2 linked regions of the Lytechinus pictus genome follow. The protein of the gene in region 2 purifies or fractionates together with the protein of the main gene of each other region. This does not show direct contact. Links are inferred from orthologs where the notes say so. Each region holds a gene or a part of one and is shown on either strand. Other genes may lie near its edges.

Region 1 (7,967 bases), on a different chromosome or scaffold from region 2:
TTGATTAGATTAATATTTTCATCTGCCAAAGTGAAAAAAAATCACTAAATGAAGTGGACATAAGACCATCTGCACAATAAACTAAATGGTAGTTAGCCCAATGTCAATAATAGACCAAGATATGTTTGAATAAAGTGGCCATTGGATCTAATTAATAGTAAACCAAGTGGGTTACGCCATGAATCATGGCTAAACCCACTTGGTCTACTATTAAATAGATCCATTGTGTTGAGAAGATGATCTGAGAATTAGACCATCTGCAAGTAGACCAAGTGAATAAAACCATTTATCCCATATCTCATATCAAGCTTCCTCTTTACATTAAAGTAGTCTATCATGGAAAATTTCATATTTCCAATTATTGATGAAATTAGAATCACAGCACTGGAGACAGACAATACATTAATCTTCTCTACCATGGCATCCTACTGCATAATTAGTCTCATACATGTTTCTGGTCTCATCTGTTATACAGATGGTATCCATTCCAACATTGCCAGATACATGCGGCTGAATCGTAATCAATAACATAGGGCCTGAGAAAAAAAATCGATTAGAATTATAGTTAATGATTAATTTAAAATGAAAATAACTCATGGCCTGAAAAAAATCTGAATGCAGAACATTGTCTGAAAACTTGCATCTGTGTACTTGCTTAATGATTTGCCTGCATTTTATGGCATTGACACCTACATGTATATCTCCCTGGATGTTATTTCTAAGAATTTTGGAAGTAACATTATGACATAATAAGATGCACCAATAAAAAATCAAATCATACTGCTCCTATTAATCAAAAGGCTGAATTACTTCAACCATGATTCAATAATAACAATTAAAAAAAAATTGAAGACAATACTCACTCTGAGAGGGTGATAAGACCAACAGTGTTTTCAGGATTAGAGCGGGTCTTGGAGAGACATACGAGATTGACTGCATCTTGCTGTGCTTGGATGCGGGTTGGAAGAAAATCTCCATTCCGCATGTATTCACTGGTGTCAACACTGTTTAAACACACAGAAACAACATAAATGATATGAAAGGACGGTGCCTTCATCAGATATTCTAAACTGTTTAAATTTTGTTCAACCTACATGGAGGAGGGGGACATTGAAATCTCACATACATGTATGTATGTGAAGATATAGCTCTCATGGCTATGCTTTAATAACAAAAAGTTGGCAGTCAATAATAAGATGACCAAGCTAAAAGAGCAAGACAAGATGAGAAAGAGCGAAATTAAGGACCCCGAGTCTGACGGGACCCAAAGTGAAATTGACAAATCATATTTTAATTGAAAGCTTATAGAGTAACAAACCCAGATTTCGACATGTTCTACCATTCGACATGGCAAACTTATTCCACAAGCCAGCACAGTCAATCACCACAACTCACACCAAACATATAGAGGTCTAGACAGCTGGCAGCCATCTGTTTCAAGGGGTTTTTAAACATTTTTTATTTTTTTATTTCTCCTACATGTAGTACACAGACTAGCCAGCAGGCTCCTGGAGATTAATGTCATATCACTGACGTGCTTAATATCCATGGAGCCAGGGACGGGATGCCATTGCACTACACGTACAGTAAGAGTTGCCACGCTCTAACTTAATGGAAATCGCACATTTAATTTAGGGTTTGAGCCCAAACTTATGTAAATGGGCTACAATATCATTTCAATCCGTTTGGCTCAAAAATAGTCATATTTTAAAATAACATTACACATAAAATGAATGAAAATATTAAAAGTAGAGGAGCGTTTACTCACATTCTGTTATTTTCGCCATCTTGGCGTCTTTGTTATCGTAGCCTGGTTACAAGACGCCTATAGAGGTCGACAATATCATGAGCAGTGCTAACTTAGATAAAAAAATTACTTGCATCGGCCAATAAATATCATGATTCATGATATTTATCAGCCGATGAAGTATCATGAATTGTACATTTATCGGCCGATGCAAGCCAAGTATTTAACGATTCATATTTATCGGCCAATGCAAGTATTTTTTAAAATCTAAGTTGACACTGCTCATGATGATATTGTTGCCCTCTATACACCTCTTTGTAGCTAGGCTACGATCACTCAAGGGTTCATTATATGCCGCCGCGCACAGAAAAATCAAGCCATAGAAGTCGTGTGTTGTGGACACCAGAAGTGGGATCCCAGCACACGCGACCCACTAGTTAGGAATCCACTGCCAAACGCGGTTCATGGTGCAACTAACCTCGCAATACGTGTACGTGTGAGTGGGCTACGATAGGCAAAGACGGCAAGATGGCGACAATAACAGACTGAGACAACGCTCCTCTGGACTCCGAGTCTGGAGTCTGGTGCTGGCTCTACTTTTAATATTTTCTATTATGTTTAATTATATAAAAAAATATCTCTTTAAGACTTTAGTGCTAAAAGCTTACAAATAGTATTGTAGCCCATTAACATAAGTTTGGGCTCAAACAAAAGACAAAACCTAAGGCTAAGCCTAACGTAAAGAAAATGAGTAGGGTGTATTTTTGCCTAACATTGCATGTTTAATTTTGGAGCAACATGGTCATGAATTCATGATTAATATTGTTGCCAAATTACTTGGTTTGTGTAAAGCAATGGCATCCCGTCCCTGGCTCCATGGAGATTAAGCACGTCAGTGATATGACATTAATCTCCAGGAGCCTCCTGGCTAGGGTGCATATATGGAACTCTTCCCCATAAATTGGATTTTAAATACACCGCAGCAATGTAAACATTACATTAAAAGCAATTCGTGGGACCGATATAAGACGATGAAAAATGCATAATCATTGAGCGTAAAGATTCAGCAACATTGCTTCCGAAAAAATGCTTAAAATGCAATATTTACATTTATCGACATGCTCTAGAAATTGAAAGTCAATATATTCAAATTTAGATATCATTCCTCATTAAATAAAGTGTCATTACTTACCAAACTACCGTACTTTCGAGAGGCATTTTTGCTGAATTCTAATGTTCTTCCAGGACTAATTACTAGCGAAGAGGGCGCTTTTATAAGATCGTATCTCTGACTGTGGCACCTGTATTTTGCTGTATAATAATTGTAAATACGTTACTACTATTGTTAAACCTTTATATACATGTATCATGTACATGTAATATGTTAAAGCCTTAATTTGCTCCCACGGGACCAAAAGGCGTTATTTCAATAAAGTTCAAAGTTCAAGTGAAAAAAATAATAAAGAAAAAAAGTCGGTGAACCAATATTTCGATCAGTGTGCTCCCGAGCACTGGTGTACGACCAAGAATAGAACAGAGAAAAGGGAAGAAAGAAGGAGGCGGATGAAATATGATATCATTTTCTGAACATTATGTTAACATATATCACAAAATTCTATTTTTGTCACGAAAATATAAAAAATTTTGCTCCCTCGCAACTTTAAATAAATTTTACGCGATACGCCACATCTATAGCTCCCTCAAAATTTTAGGCTCATTATACGCCTCTGCTCCTGAGTATATACGTCAAAAAAATTAATGCAATCATGATTATGATTATCACAGTAATTTTGATGTTTTCTTTGGTTATTTTCAATATCAAAGGATTCCGCACTTCTTCAGACCCCGTTGCTCAATAATTCAATAAAAAAAAAAAATTTTAAAAAAAAGGAGAGAAGAGAAGGCGTCATGGTGAGAGTGCCGGGGCAGACTTACTCCCGATTTTGTAACAATGAAAAAGTGTGGCCCTTGGTCTATGCGAAAAGTTGCCCTATTTGGGGCAGGGCTGACAGGCCACTGTTTTATTTTTGTAGACCCTATAGTGTGGACGTCTGTGCCTAATAAGTATTTCGTTTTCGGCATCAGATAAATTGAGGACATTTTAAATCAACCTCACAACAGTATCCTCAATTATTCCAACATATTCGAATAAGGTTTTTTTCCCCCCATCTTCTCCATTGTTAGATATACCGCACATAATAATATTGTATCCACTAACTGTCTCCTTCAATTCGTGTGGGTCTTTTTGCATGGGCCTTTTAAAAATCTTTTTTTTTTTTTAATGTTTCTTGTAGGCATCAATAAAATGAATCCAGGACTTTTGGACGGGGGATCTTAACTATAAAAAGTGAACCTTTGTAGTTTATATTCAGTTCCGTTTGCTTCAGCCTTTTCAGGGGCGGATCCAGCTTTGGTCAATATAGGGCGGACACATTTATATTTTAGTCCACATTTTCCCCCGATTGGCCACTATAAAGCTGAAGTTTTAAATGACAAGTCCGCCCCAACTAAAAAAAAGTTTAGTTGAATAAAAAAAAAAAAATCCAACGAGCATATACACACTGGAAATTTCATCAAAAAGTAATGAAATCTTCAAGTTTCGTTTTATTTTAACAAAACAGTTACTATATGCGCATCCTGGTCGGTATCAGGGGACTGATGACGTCACCAACTCACAATTTCTCAGTTATTTTATTGTTTGAAAATGTCGTTGGAAAAAAAAAATCATCTATGAATATTTTGTATATCAAATTACTATCGTAGCATTTTATGGTTCAGTCAAGTTGGCCCTTAGTGTAAAATCTGTAAAAATTGAAATATTGTATAATTCAAACAATAAAAAGCAAAAGAATTATGAGTGAGGAATGTAATCGAATCTCTCTATAGTAGGTCACTGAGTTGTGCTAAAACTGTTTTTGAACAATAAAGCGAAATTTTAATATGTAATTACTTTCTTAATTTGCATCCGATTTTGATGAAATTTTCAGCGCTATGCTAGTTTTTTTTAACTGTTTAGTGTTTATATCATATCCCCCTATTTTCCTGTTTGCAGCGGGCATGGACCTGGCAACGGAGGAGGAGGATTATTTATTATTACTTGGGGTGCTGTGACAATGCTCAGCACCCCAAGTAACAGTATATTTATCCTCTGTGGACGGGTCCATGGCAGCGGGGGTTCCATTAGAACCCTCTGTCTAGGGGCCTAACATAATTATTATGTCCCTATAAGGCATATTATGTTCCTCGATCTCAATTCAAGCAATGTATCTAATCACTTCTGATAAAGACCGTCTTAAGTGCCCTTTACACGGACCATAGTACATTAATTTAAGGCTCTTTAGTAGCCAAAGATCACTGACATGAAATAAAAACCAAATTGAAAATATAACGGGCTGCATTTTTTGTGATCGCATTTCTAAATGTTCGTTTGATAGTGTTCATCTTTTTATCAGTACTGCTACAATTTCTAAGCATTTCCCTTTTTACAATTAAAAAAAAAATAGATAAAAATGGCCCAGTATGCAAAACAATATTTCATTTTTTTTATCACACTAACTTAAAATTCCATCTATAATCTTATCTTTCTTCTTTGATGGATCTCTCCTCGAGACAGCCAGGGCAGAATGTTAGTATAGCGCCATCTATAAATCCACCCTTTTCAAGGATCTTTCATTATAGTATACGGCAAATTATAGATAAACCATGTCCCCTAGCTCCATGGATAAACTAGCAAAACAACAAAAGAAAGGCAGATAAATTTCGAAATAAAGGTGGCAAGGAATTAAAAAGATTCCGTCCTAAGTTTTTGTTATAAATTGAATAACACTTCACTAAATATACAGCGCATTCGTTATACTTTTACTGATGATTCTTGTGAAAGATTATATATATATATATATATATATAGCACTTTCTCGAGCTATGAATGCTGTAACAAGTTTTTAAGACTTTACACAATTATTTGATTATTTGAAGGTTTTTAAACAACTTGTTTAAAATTCTAACCAAGAAAACATCACCACCACCACCATCATCATCATACAGATTATCACCACCATGTTTTATCACAACTGTCATAATCATAATTACCACCACTGTCATGAAACCCGATGAATCCCCGGCATGAAACATCCATGAATATACTGAAAGCAAATCACCACCATCTGGTTTACCTGCACTCCGGTGGGCCTACACGTCTACCACAACCATAATCCCCACCCCATCACTACCACCGACACCACCACCACCCCCCACCATCACCACCACTCGGACCACCACTCACAACAACCAAATCATCACCATCTTAGGCACTCCGGGTCATCAACCACCATCTTACTCCCTTTGGCGATGAGCTGAGTGTAATATAATTATTGCGGAAGTTGTCGCCGCGGTTGTTGTCGTGGGCGTTGATGTTGTTGTTGAGGGCATGTGTTGTGGACCCGGGGGGGCCACTTACATTGACGAGTGGATACCATGCGCGACCAAAAAAACACGTAAAAAGGATGTCCTTTTCACGATAGGGCACGTTACGTACGTAACGTGATAAGGGTGTCAAAAACACAAAAATAATGAAAAAAGGGTATCTATTTCGCTAGGACAATTACGTGTTTAGGGTCGAATTTGCGGGGATGATAAAACAAAATTAAAATGTTTTATAAAGGATGTCCTTTTTGCCCCAACACTTCGTGTTTAGAGTCCAATTTTCGCGAGATGTAGAAGATGCGGTCGTACTAAACCAAATTAGGTAAAGCCGACGACCGAAAGACCCGTAACAATAAAACATTCATGTACTTGTTTAGGGGTTCATTTCAGGGAATATTTGCCAAGGGTATCGTTTTGTTTCCAATACTTGTTAAGGGTAGGGTTTCACACGCCAATACTTGTTAAGGGGTGCATTTTCAGAATATGGAAATTACGTGTTTAGGGTGCTTTTCGAGACCCCATGGTCGCGCATGGTATCCACTCGTGAATGGAACTGGCCCCCCCGGGGTTGTGGAGTTGAGCAATACTACTACAACAAAAAACTTGTATGGGATTTCCCTGAATCCCTTCAATAATGTGCGGGATTCCGCATGAGTGATTGGATAAATTCCAATCACATGACTTGACAATCGGATCACTCACTCATCAAACATGGCGACGTCGGGAGAGGTTCGGTGAAGTGAGAGGAGCATCTACCGGCGCGCTGAGACGGTGTTTGGAAGCAGATTTTCTCTTCTTTGCTAGTAAATTGGAATATATGCATGACACAATGACGGGGTGGGTTCCAACAAAGGAGGCAAAGTATGCTGTTGGTAAGTATTTTATACAGTTATCGCACAGTTCAGATTTTTTTTATCTTGAATTTCGCTTGGGAGGCCGAGGGAGACGGAATTCAGCTGCAGACAAGGGTCATTGCCCATTCGGTGCGGCAGAGCCAGAGCCACCGGGGCCGGGGCGACTGGTGGTTACCGTTGACCAGCCTCTGCTCTGCTGAGCTGATACCTTGGATTCTGAGATCCATTTTATCTCAGATAAACTATAATATTTTATCTTGTACTCAGTTAGAGTAACTTTACAATCCAATGTCTTAATCAAGTACTTTAGTATTTTTAGTTTATCTTTGTTGAAATCACTCATCCTACGAACGAGGTTGTTGAAATAATGACAAAACAATGTCAATGTCATGAGACAAGATTAAGATAACCGTAAATCTGAATTTGTATAACAGTTAGTTTAGACTACTATCTTATCTTCATTTTATCTTTGTAGACAGTGTAAGACACACCTATTGCCATTAATGAGATATATATTTTTTTAGATCTATCTAGATCTAGTAATACTATAGTAAATGTGGCTGTCAATGAGAAATGCTGTACATGTAAGTGTACTTATAGATCTATACCGTTAGCTTTCTCATCTCATTCAATCAATGAAAAATGCTTTTTACCTATATCAGGTCATGCAGATGAGATGAAACTGGCAGTCAGTAGTCGATCTAGGTCTGTCTACAATAAAAAGTACAAATCCTCTCACAAAAATTGCTACAATAAGAATAAGTAAGAATGCCACACTTCCAGAATGTCGACGTAATAATGGGTAAATTTGAAGGCGCTGATTCGAAACATCAAATAAATGAAATGCACAGGCATGTACGGTGATACACCAGCCTGGTGGTGGACTGTTCTTTCACGGATGATGATGATATTTCGCAGACACATGCATGCACCAATTTGTACAC
Region 2 (7,585 bases):
ACTTGACCTTTAATCAGAATAAATAAAAGATGCAATGGAAGAGTATCTGGGTCGATGTGGGTTCACTTACCGGAGGGGAGGAAATCTCTTGATTTTGAATGGGAATCCTGATGAGGAATCCCGCCAAGCGCAGCACCAGCTGTATCGGTAATGTCCTTCTTCAAGAATGTAAACGCGACATCATCGCTCGGCGCCGATTCCAAGTCTTTAGTGATTTCATCAAGACTTGGAAGTTCAGGTCTGCTTAGTAATTTCTTTGTTCTCGACATGTTGACATTCATATATCAAGCATGAATCAAAATAATTTTCTAAGGGCAAAAGTCTAAGTTCTAACTCCTACTCGAATCTTCGCGTACGTTAACCATACGTGTACATCCGTATGCGATATAAGCATTACATTAGAAGCCTATGGAACGCCATGGTATGATGGTAGACAGTTCTTATGTGACCATGATTTGATTTCGACACAACGATGACTACAAAAACGGTAAGACCGGCCTTCATTAATTTTTGGCCCGGGATTTTGGCCGCTGTTTATTACCCTGGTCTGTTATTATCATTATTTTTTTTAATAAAGGTCTTGATGAAGTTTCTGTTTTTTTTTTAATTCCAATGTGTTATAAAATTCGCAAACTGAAATTATTCTTTGAGATGATAATAACAAAGCGTACTGTACATTTTCCCCGGGCGCCAGTCAAATACAGTACGTGGCGTAACTACGCCGGGCTGGCCAAAAAAAAGGGGGAAAAGGAGAAATAGAGGGAGAAAGGGAGAGAAACGTAGCGAGAAAGAAGATATTGTTCATTATATTTATAATGTAATATTATGTTATGTTATATTACATAAAAAAACATTTTTTCATAACTTTATGAAACATAATTTGCTCAGGGCCTATATGTCTCCATTGTTCCTCGTGCTCACATTGTCTGTTTAACGAGATATGTAATCCTGTTGTACTAAAACCTCCCGTTTCAAGTCAATATACACATATTGTTTTATGTATAGTGACACGTGCTTCTTATTCGTGACTATACTTAAAGTAACTGCCCCATTTTAAGGCCTTGATATAAAACATTTCCTGTCCATGCTTACGTTCGCATTAGTGAATTGGTAAGATATGTCTGCTCTTCATGAATTCCTAAAATCAGGCTTAAAATGTCCCTTTTTCTGATCCGGAATATCAAAAATTTTCAGCTTGCGCTTTGCGCTCGCATCACTGTGAAATACGTATCTTTGGTCTTCGTGAATTCCTACAAACAATTAAGCCTTATATAGAATGCCCCTCTTCAGGTCTGAATTTCCTAAATCTTCAGCTCGCGCTTCGCGCGCGCAATATTCGATTAGTGATAGATGCGTATGATAATCATGATTACAATTACTACAAAAGTGCTCCATGTGTTTAGATGTAATCCTTAAAAAAATCAGCATGCACTTAATTGGCACTCGCATTAGATTTCATGGTGAGAGGGGGTGAGATATATGTATACTCTTAATGGATTGGCTAAAATATAGTCCTTAAAATGTCCCTGTTTGTGGTCAGTATAAACAAAAATTCGCATTGTTTGTTTAGCGAGATAGGTACGTATCATGATTACAAAAAATTGCTTGTAATGTCCCTTTTTAGGTCTGAATATAAACAAATTTCAGCTCGCGCTTCGCGCTCGCATATGATCAGTGAGATATACGTTTAACTGAGCGCGTTTCGCGCGCTCACTAAGTGACTCAAAAATTTTGCTGGTGCCCCCCATGCCGTGACCCGACGGTACACCACTGTTGTTGTGTATTTGACTCCGGAGGGGGGGGGGGGTACAGTATGAACCATTTTGTGAAAATGACATGGATTTTAAATAAAGTGCAGCATTCATTGTATTTCTTATTTTTTTATATAAATGTCAATTTTTTTTATAGATATTTTTTGTCGCCTTTCACACCTCATTAAAATTGAAGGTGCTACTTCTCTTTAAAGAGCACAGCAATATGAGTGAATTAAGTATATAATTCTGAACTATGATGTAAAATTTTGTGAAACTGAGATGGGTTTTGACTGAGTAATAGAGGTTCAAACTCAACGTCGTGATCCCGTGGGGTTTAAAAACGCAATATTATTTTACTTGTGTATTTCTCGAGACCTTGCAAACTTGGTGAACTTCAAAGCTCGATAGCAATTTTTTTTTGCATATTTTGAATAATTATATAGTTGCTCAGTGGTGTACCTGGCATATTTCGTCAGGGGGGGGGGGCAAGCGACAAAAATGAGCAAGGTGGATGGGGGAGGGGTAGTAGGCATGGACGTATAGGCACAATTTCTTCAAGGGGGGCTGATAATCATTGCCCAAATATCAACTTCACAGTTTTTAATTTTCGAGCGAGCGAACATTTTTTTAATTATTATTTATAGCCATTATTTTAACATGATATGAAACTTGCAGAAATTATACATTCGGTCATCAAATTACCAATACACGAGGATATTTGGGCACCTCGTAGTCCTCGTTGCCCTCCATTTTGCTGCCCCCCATACACGTTTGGATGTGTAGGTCTGGAAGTGGCACTGAAGGTGGGAAAGGTTACCCAGGGCAGAGGCGTCGATCCTGGGGGGGGGGGGCAGGGGGGCGATCGCCCCACCAATGGAAATATTGGGGGGGGGGGGCAAACATATCGTTTTGCCCCCCCCCCCAATAATTCCGCATGTGCAAAAAATAAAATAAGATTGTAATGTTTTTACAGAGAAATCAGCAAGCGAGATTGAGATACACAACTTGTTCTTTATCTAAAATCGTGCTCAAAATGTCCGCTTTTCAGATTGGAATATGAAAAATTTTCAGCACGCGCTTCGCGCTCGCATCATTTCTGTAGCAAAACCCATACTTTTCATGATCAAATAGCTGAATAGAATGTCCCATTTTCAGTTCTAAACCTCAAAAGAACTCCCACTTCGATTTGCAATAATCTTTTGTTGGATCTATATCTCGTTCTTTGATTAAATCATTTTTCCTGTGATTTGATCATCACCAAGTACTCTCCCATGACCATCATCATCATCTCCATCTCCATCATGGCCTTCATTTTCACCATTATCACCATCATCCTAATTCATCTCCATCTTCATCATTATACAATTATAAACAAAATAACATTTCCATTCTGCTTTATAAATGTATGTAATAATTTAATGAGTTTTATTCCGGGGTTGTCATTTTTTTTCAAGCAATCTGCTAATAATGACAATCCTTCTCCTGCAAACTGTAAATGTTAAAATGTTCTTTGTTGGTTGTAGATCATATTTGTTTAGAATGACTTTCTATTTTGTATTTTTTTTCTTTATGATTCATACCTAAATCAATTACCGATATATTATGTTTGTTACATAATGAAAATTGAAATGTTATAATTATATGAATGCAGAAGAAAAAATAAATCAAATCAAATCAAATTTTGTTTAACATTATTGATCCAATGCTTATACTTTAACAATATTATTTTGTTATATAGGCCTACATTGATTTGTACATACTAACTGCGAAAATTCTGGTGTTGAATTAACACCAGCCCGGAATCTATATATGTCCACACCATGCAGAGAATTGTTAAACAACACAAGTTTCGTTTTGGTCTAACACCAGATAGGTGTTTATACAACACCAATTAGTATTAAAACAGCATCGGTTTGATTCCAAAGTGGTGCTATTTCAATACTTCTCAGTGTGGACATAGGCCGGGCTGGTGTTAAATCAACACCGGAGTTTTTGCAGTGTACTACTTTATAAACTTATATCTGATGCATTGAATGCGGAAATAAAGCGATCATCAATCAATCAATCAGTCAGTCAATCAATCAATCAATCAATCAATCCGCAATCAATCAACCAATCAATCAATCAACCATAATCAATCAATCAGTCAATGTACTTTGTATGGATATGTTTTTTTTATTTCTATCACGGTGCACTCGTCACAAGCACTGCTTACAGAGTACCTCCATTGTTGTTAAATTTTTGAAATTGTATTAATGCTTTTATCTTTGGAAATAAATGTTTAATTGAATTGAATTATATAAAGCCTTAAATGAAAATTATCATTATTTTTTTCACCGATAGATGTGAGATGAGAATGGAAATCGGGAATAAGGTTAACAGTATTATGATGCAAAGAGAGATAAGTGAAATCATATTCAGAAATGATGCAATATCAAAAATTCTGAGCAAATTAGGCTTAGATTGTAAGTCGATCCACTTGGCCTATAAATATAATAATTGATAAAATAGAGATGTGGGAAATGTTGCAGTCCGGAGTTACGGCATTGATTTGATCAATGACTTCAGTACACTCAAATGGGAAAAATGAATGGAAACTTTTCAATGTATATAAACCATCCACATCCCCGAATCTATTTATTGTAGTAATACCATGAAAATGGTAAATGTAGAAAAAAATAGTTAGTACAAACAACAACACATTACAAATGTAGCTTTCCATAACTTAGTTAGACAAATTCGGTCACTTGAGAGGTCAATTTGTTAAAACACAAATCTGGAAACATGGCGGAGCCTACAGAATCTTCGGGAACCACTGCTAAAGATATCATCAATGTTGTCGTCAAGACACCGAAAGACAAAGAAACAATAGAAATCAAACCCGATGCTACAATTAAACAGGTAATATATGTGATTGAGGGTCCATGTTTAGCAACGACTGTAGTGTAGGTGAAGTTTGTCAATATTGCTTATTCACGGCGCGATGAATGATCCACTCTACACTCACAGACCACAGTCTCTCACTGCACTCTCAGCGTTTCACAATGCGCAACGCCGCCGTAGCGCCATAGGCATAGCCATACTGGACTTAGCCTTAGCTTAGCCTTAGGCTTAGCACAGTCACAGGACGTGCATTTATTTTAAGATTTTAACCCAGACTAACTTGTAATGCGATTTTTTGTTAATGGGTGATACTGATAGTAATAAAGATGTTCGTATCTAATGACGTGAAAGCCCATTTTTAGCAGTTAAATTGTCTCATCAGACTCATGTAAATATGAATTATGAGTAACGTTACGTTGGAGCTTACCAGTGGCACTGGCAGTAGCCTGGAGGCTTCTGGGGAGTAAAATTATTTACTACGTAGGCTTACTCCCCATGAAGCCTGGGACGGCATGCCATAACTCCCTGTATAGGCATAGGATTCCCACGGTGAAAGTAAACCTAAAATCTAAATCACACATTTTCCTTTACTTTACGTTTTTAGCCCAAACTAACGTATGGGCCAAAACAATATTTACCCCCCATTTTTAATAAAGGTCCTTATATTTATTGAAAAATAGTACTAAATTTGAAAAAAACATAAGAGCACGAGCGTTTACTTCAGGGTCGGAATTACACGGGGGCGACGGGCGATTTTGCCCCCATGACAGCCCAAATCGCCCCTAAAAATTCTTTTTTCTTTCCCCTAAAAAAAAAAATTAATTCCTACCCTGGTTTACTTACCCAGTTTGTTTACGTCACCATTTTGGAGTCTTTTGTTATCGATACCAAGATACCACACGCATGTAGAGCTGCCAACTTAGATTTAAGAAATACTTTAATCGGCCGATAAATATTACGAATCGTAAAATACTTGTTTCAGTCGATAAATATCATTAAGCAATTGTTATGAGCAAACAACCGTCTATGGACAAAGGGGTGCGCTTTTGCACCCTCCTCGATTACTCCTAAATTTTGCTTTTTGATGGGGGAAAAGGGAAGAAATAATCAAAATGTATTTATACTATAATGACACGTGTGCGCTCTTTTTATTTCAAGTTTATTTTTTTAAAGCAATAGGTTTGAATGATTTCCTGCATGAAATTAAAAGGAAGGACTTCCCTAATTGTTTATTTTGTAACAGTGACCCGGAAACCTATTTACATCTTTTTATTGAATGTCCTGTTGTGAAACCCATTTGGGATGAAGTTATGAAAGCTATTATTAAGGAAACCAAAAAGCCTGATTTACAGAATGTTTCAACATTTGAAAAAATGTTTGGTTATATTGATGATACATTCCTTGCATATTTGTTTCTTTTGCTTAAATATTACATTTATATTTGTAAATTTCAGAACAAACCACCAACTTTTGATGGTTATAAAGCATATTTAACCTCTAACAAGGATATTGAATATCGTATTGCCAAGAAAAATAAACCTACAAGCCATTTTCGGAAATGGAGATTTAAGTTGTAAGATATTCTATCATTTTTAATTTTTGTAACTGAAGAATATTTTAATATGCCTTCTGAGGATAGAAATTTGTTAATCTCTAGGTAAATCACCTGATTTGTATCCCTCTGTTATTTACATTCTTGCCTTTACTATACTATAAGGGATGAGGAATACTTAGAAGAGACAAAGTGACTGCTTTTACAACATGTTTATCACTTTTTATCTGTTGATAAGCTGTACTTTTTCTGATGTAAACTAATAATGTGTATGCTGCTTTTTTATTTCAAATTACTTGTATTGTTTATATGTGATTTGTTACCCAAAATCATGAAAACCCAAAGAAACTAATAGACGGGTCAATATATGGTTTGACCCGGAACAAATTGCAACAAATGATTTTTCAACGGTATTTTGTACTATTTGACCTCAGGAATAACATACTAAAAATCTACCAAAATCCGCATCCGGGAAAGTGGTTATTTTTAAGATGTCATCCAAGATGGCCGCCATTCACTAAAAATTGATATAACTCACTCATTATCCACCCTAGAATCATATTTGGGTTCATATTCCATGGTCCAATGGGTAACAGAATTTATTTATACAAGTTAGAGTGAATATTAGCACTCCAGGGTACCAGGAAAATCCAAGATGGCGCCCAAAATGGATGCCGTAGTCTAAAAACTCCACAATTCATCTATTACTTACTTAAGTGGCTTTAATTTGGTTTCCATCCGATTGTTTTAATGATGAAGTAGTACGTCGGGACAAGTTACAAGATGGCTTCCAAAAATTGAGTTTAAAATGGCTGTTAATCCTTAAAATGGACATAGCTCATATCACATCAACCTGAGAGATATGATTTTGGTGTCTAGACCATGGTTTCAATTGTCAAATAATACATTGGGACAAGTTACAAGGACAGTCAGTGGTCCAGTATGTTCAAAAATCCAAGATGGCTTCCAAAAATGGAGTAAAAAATGCTGTTGCTACTTTAAAAAAACCCAACAAAGTTTGTTCAATATTCGGGAATATGATTTTTTTGTGCCTATACCATGGTTAAATGGGTCAAATAATAAATTGGGATAAGTTACAAGAACGATTGGTGGTCAAGTATGTCCAAAAGTCCACGGTGGCTTAAAAAATATGGTATCAATTAGCCGCGATGGTATTTAAAAATGGACATAGTTCATGTTTTATTCGTCAAGGGCATATGATTTTGTTGCCTATATCATGGTTTCAAAAGGCAGAAAATTAGTTACAAGGACAGTCAGTGGTCCAGTATGTCGAAAATACAAGATGGCTTCCAAAAATCGGAGTCTAAATGACTGCTGTTACTTTTAAAATGGACATAGTTCATTTAAAATCCACCTAGGAGATATGATTTCGGTG

What was found.
Region 1: the proteins of ubiquilin-1-like (region 2) and 26S proteasome non-ATPase regulatory subunit 4-like purify together in Drosophila melanogaster (affinity purification with western blotting; 3 studies listed by BioGRID, with this or other methods). This does not show direct contact. The link is inferred for Lytechinus pictus from reciprocal best matches to the Drosophila melanogaster genes Ubqn and Rpn10.

The regions. Positions count from the first base shown.
Region 1 is NC_087256.1:4,229,211-4,237,177, reverse strand, and holds the start of 26S proteasome non-ATPase regulatory subunit 4-like, read right to left. Parts: upstream 3,044-7,967; 5' UTR 2,966-3,043; coding exon 2,940-2,965; intron 1,005-2,939; coding exon 864-1,004; intron 1-863. UniProt on the Drosophila melanogaster protein: Binds and presumably selects ubiquitin-conjugates for destruction.
Region 2 is NW_026974140.1:5,441,883-5,449,467, reverse strand, and holds the start of ubiquilin-1-like, read left to right. Parts: upstream 1-4,451; 5' UTR 4,452-4,538; coding exon 4,539-4,655; intron 4,656-7,585. Other genes in the region: uncharacterized protein LOC129260988, read right to left, coding at 71-281.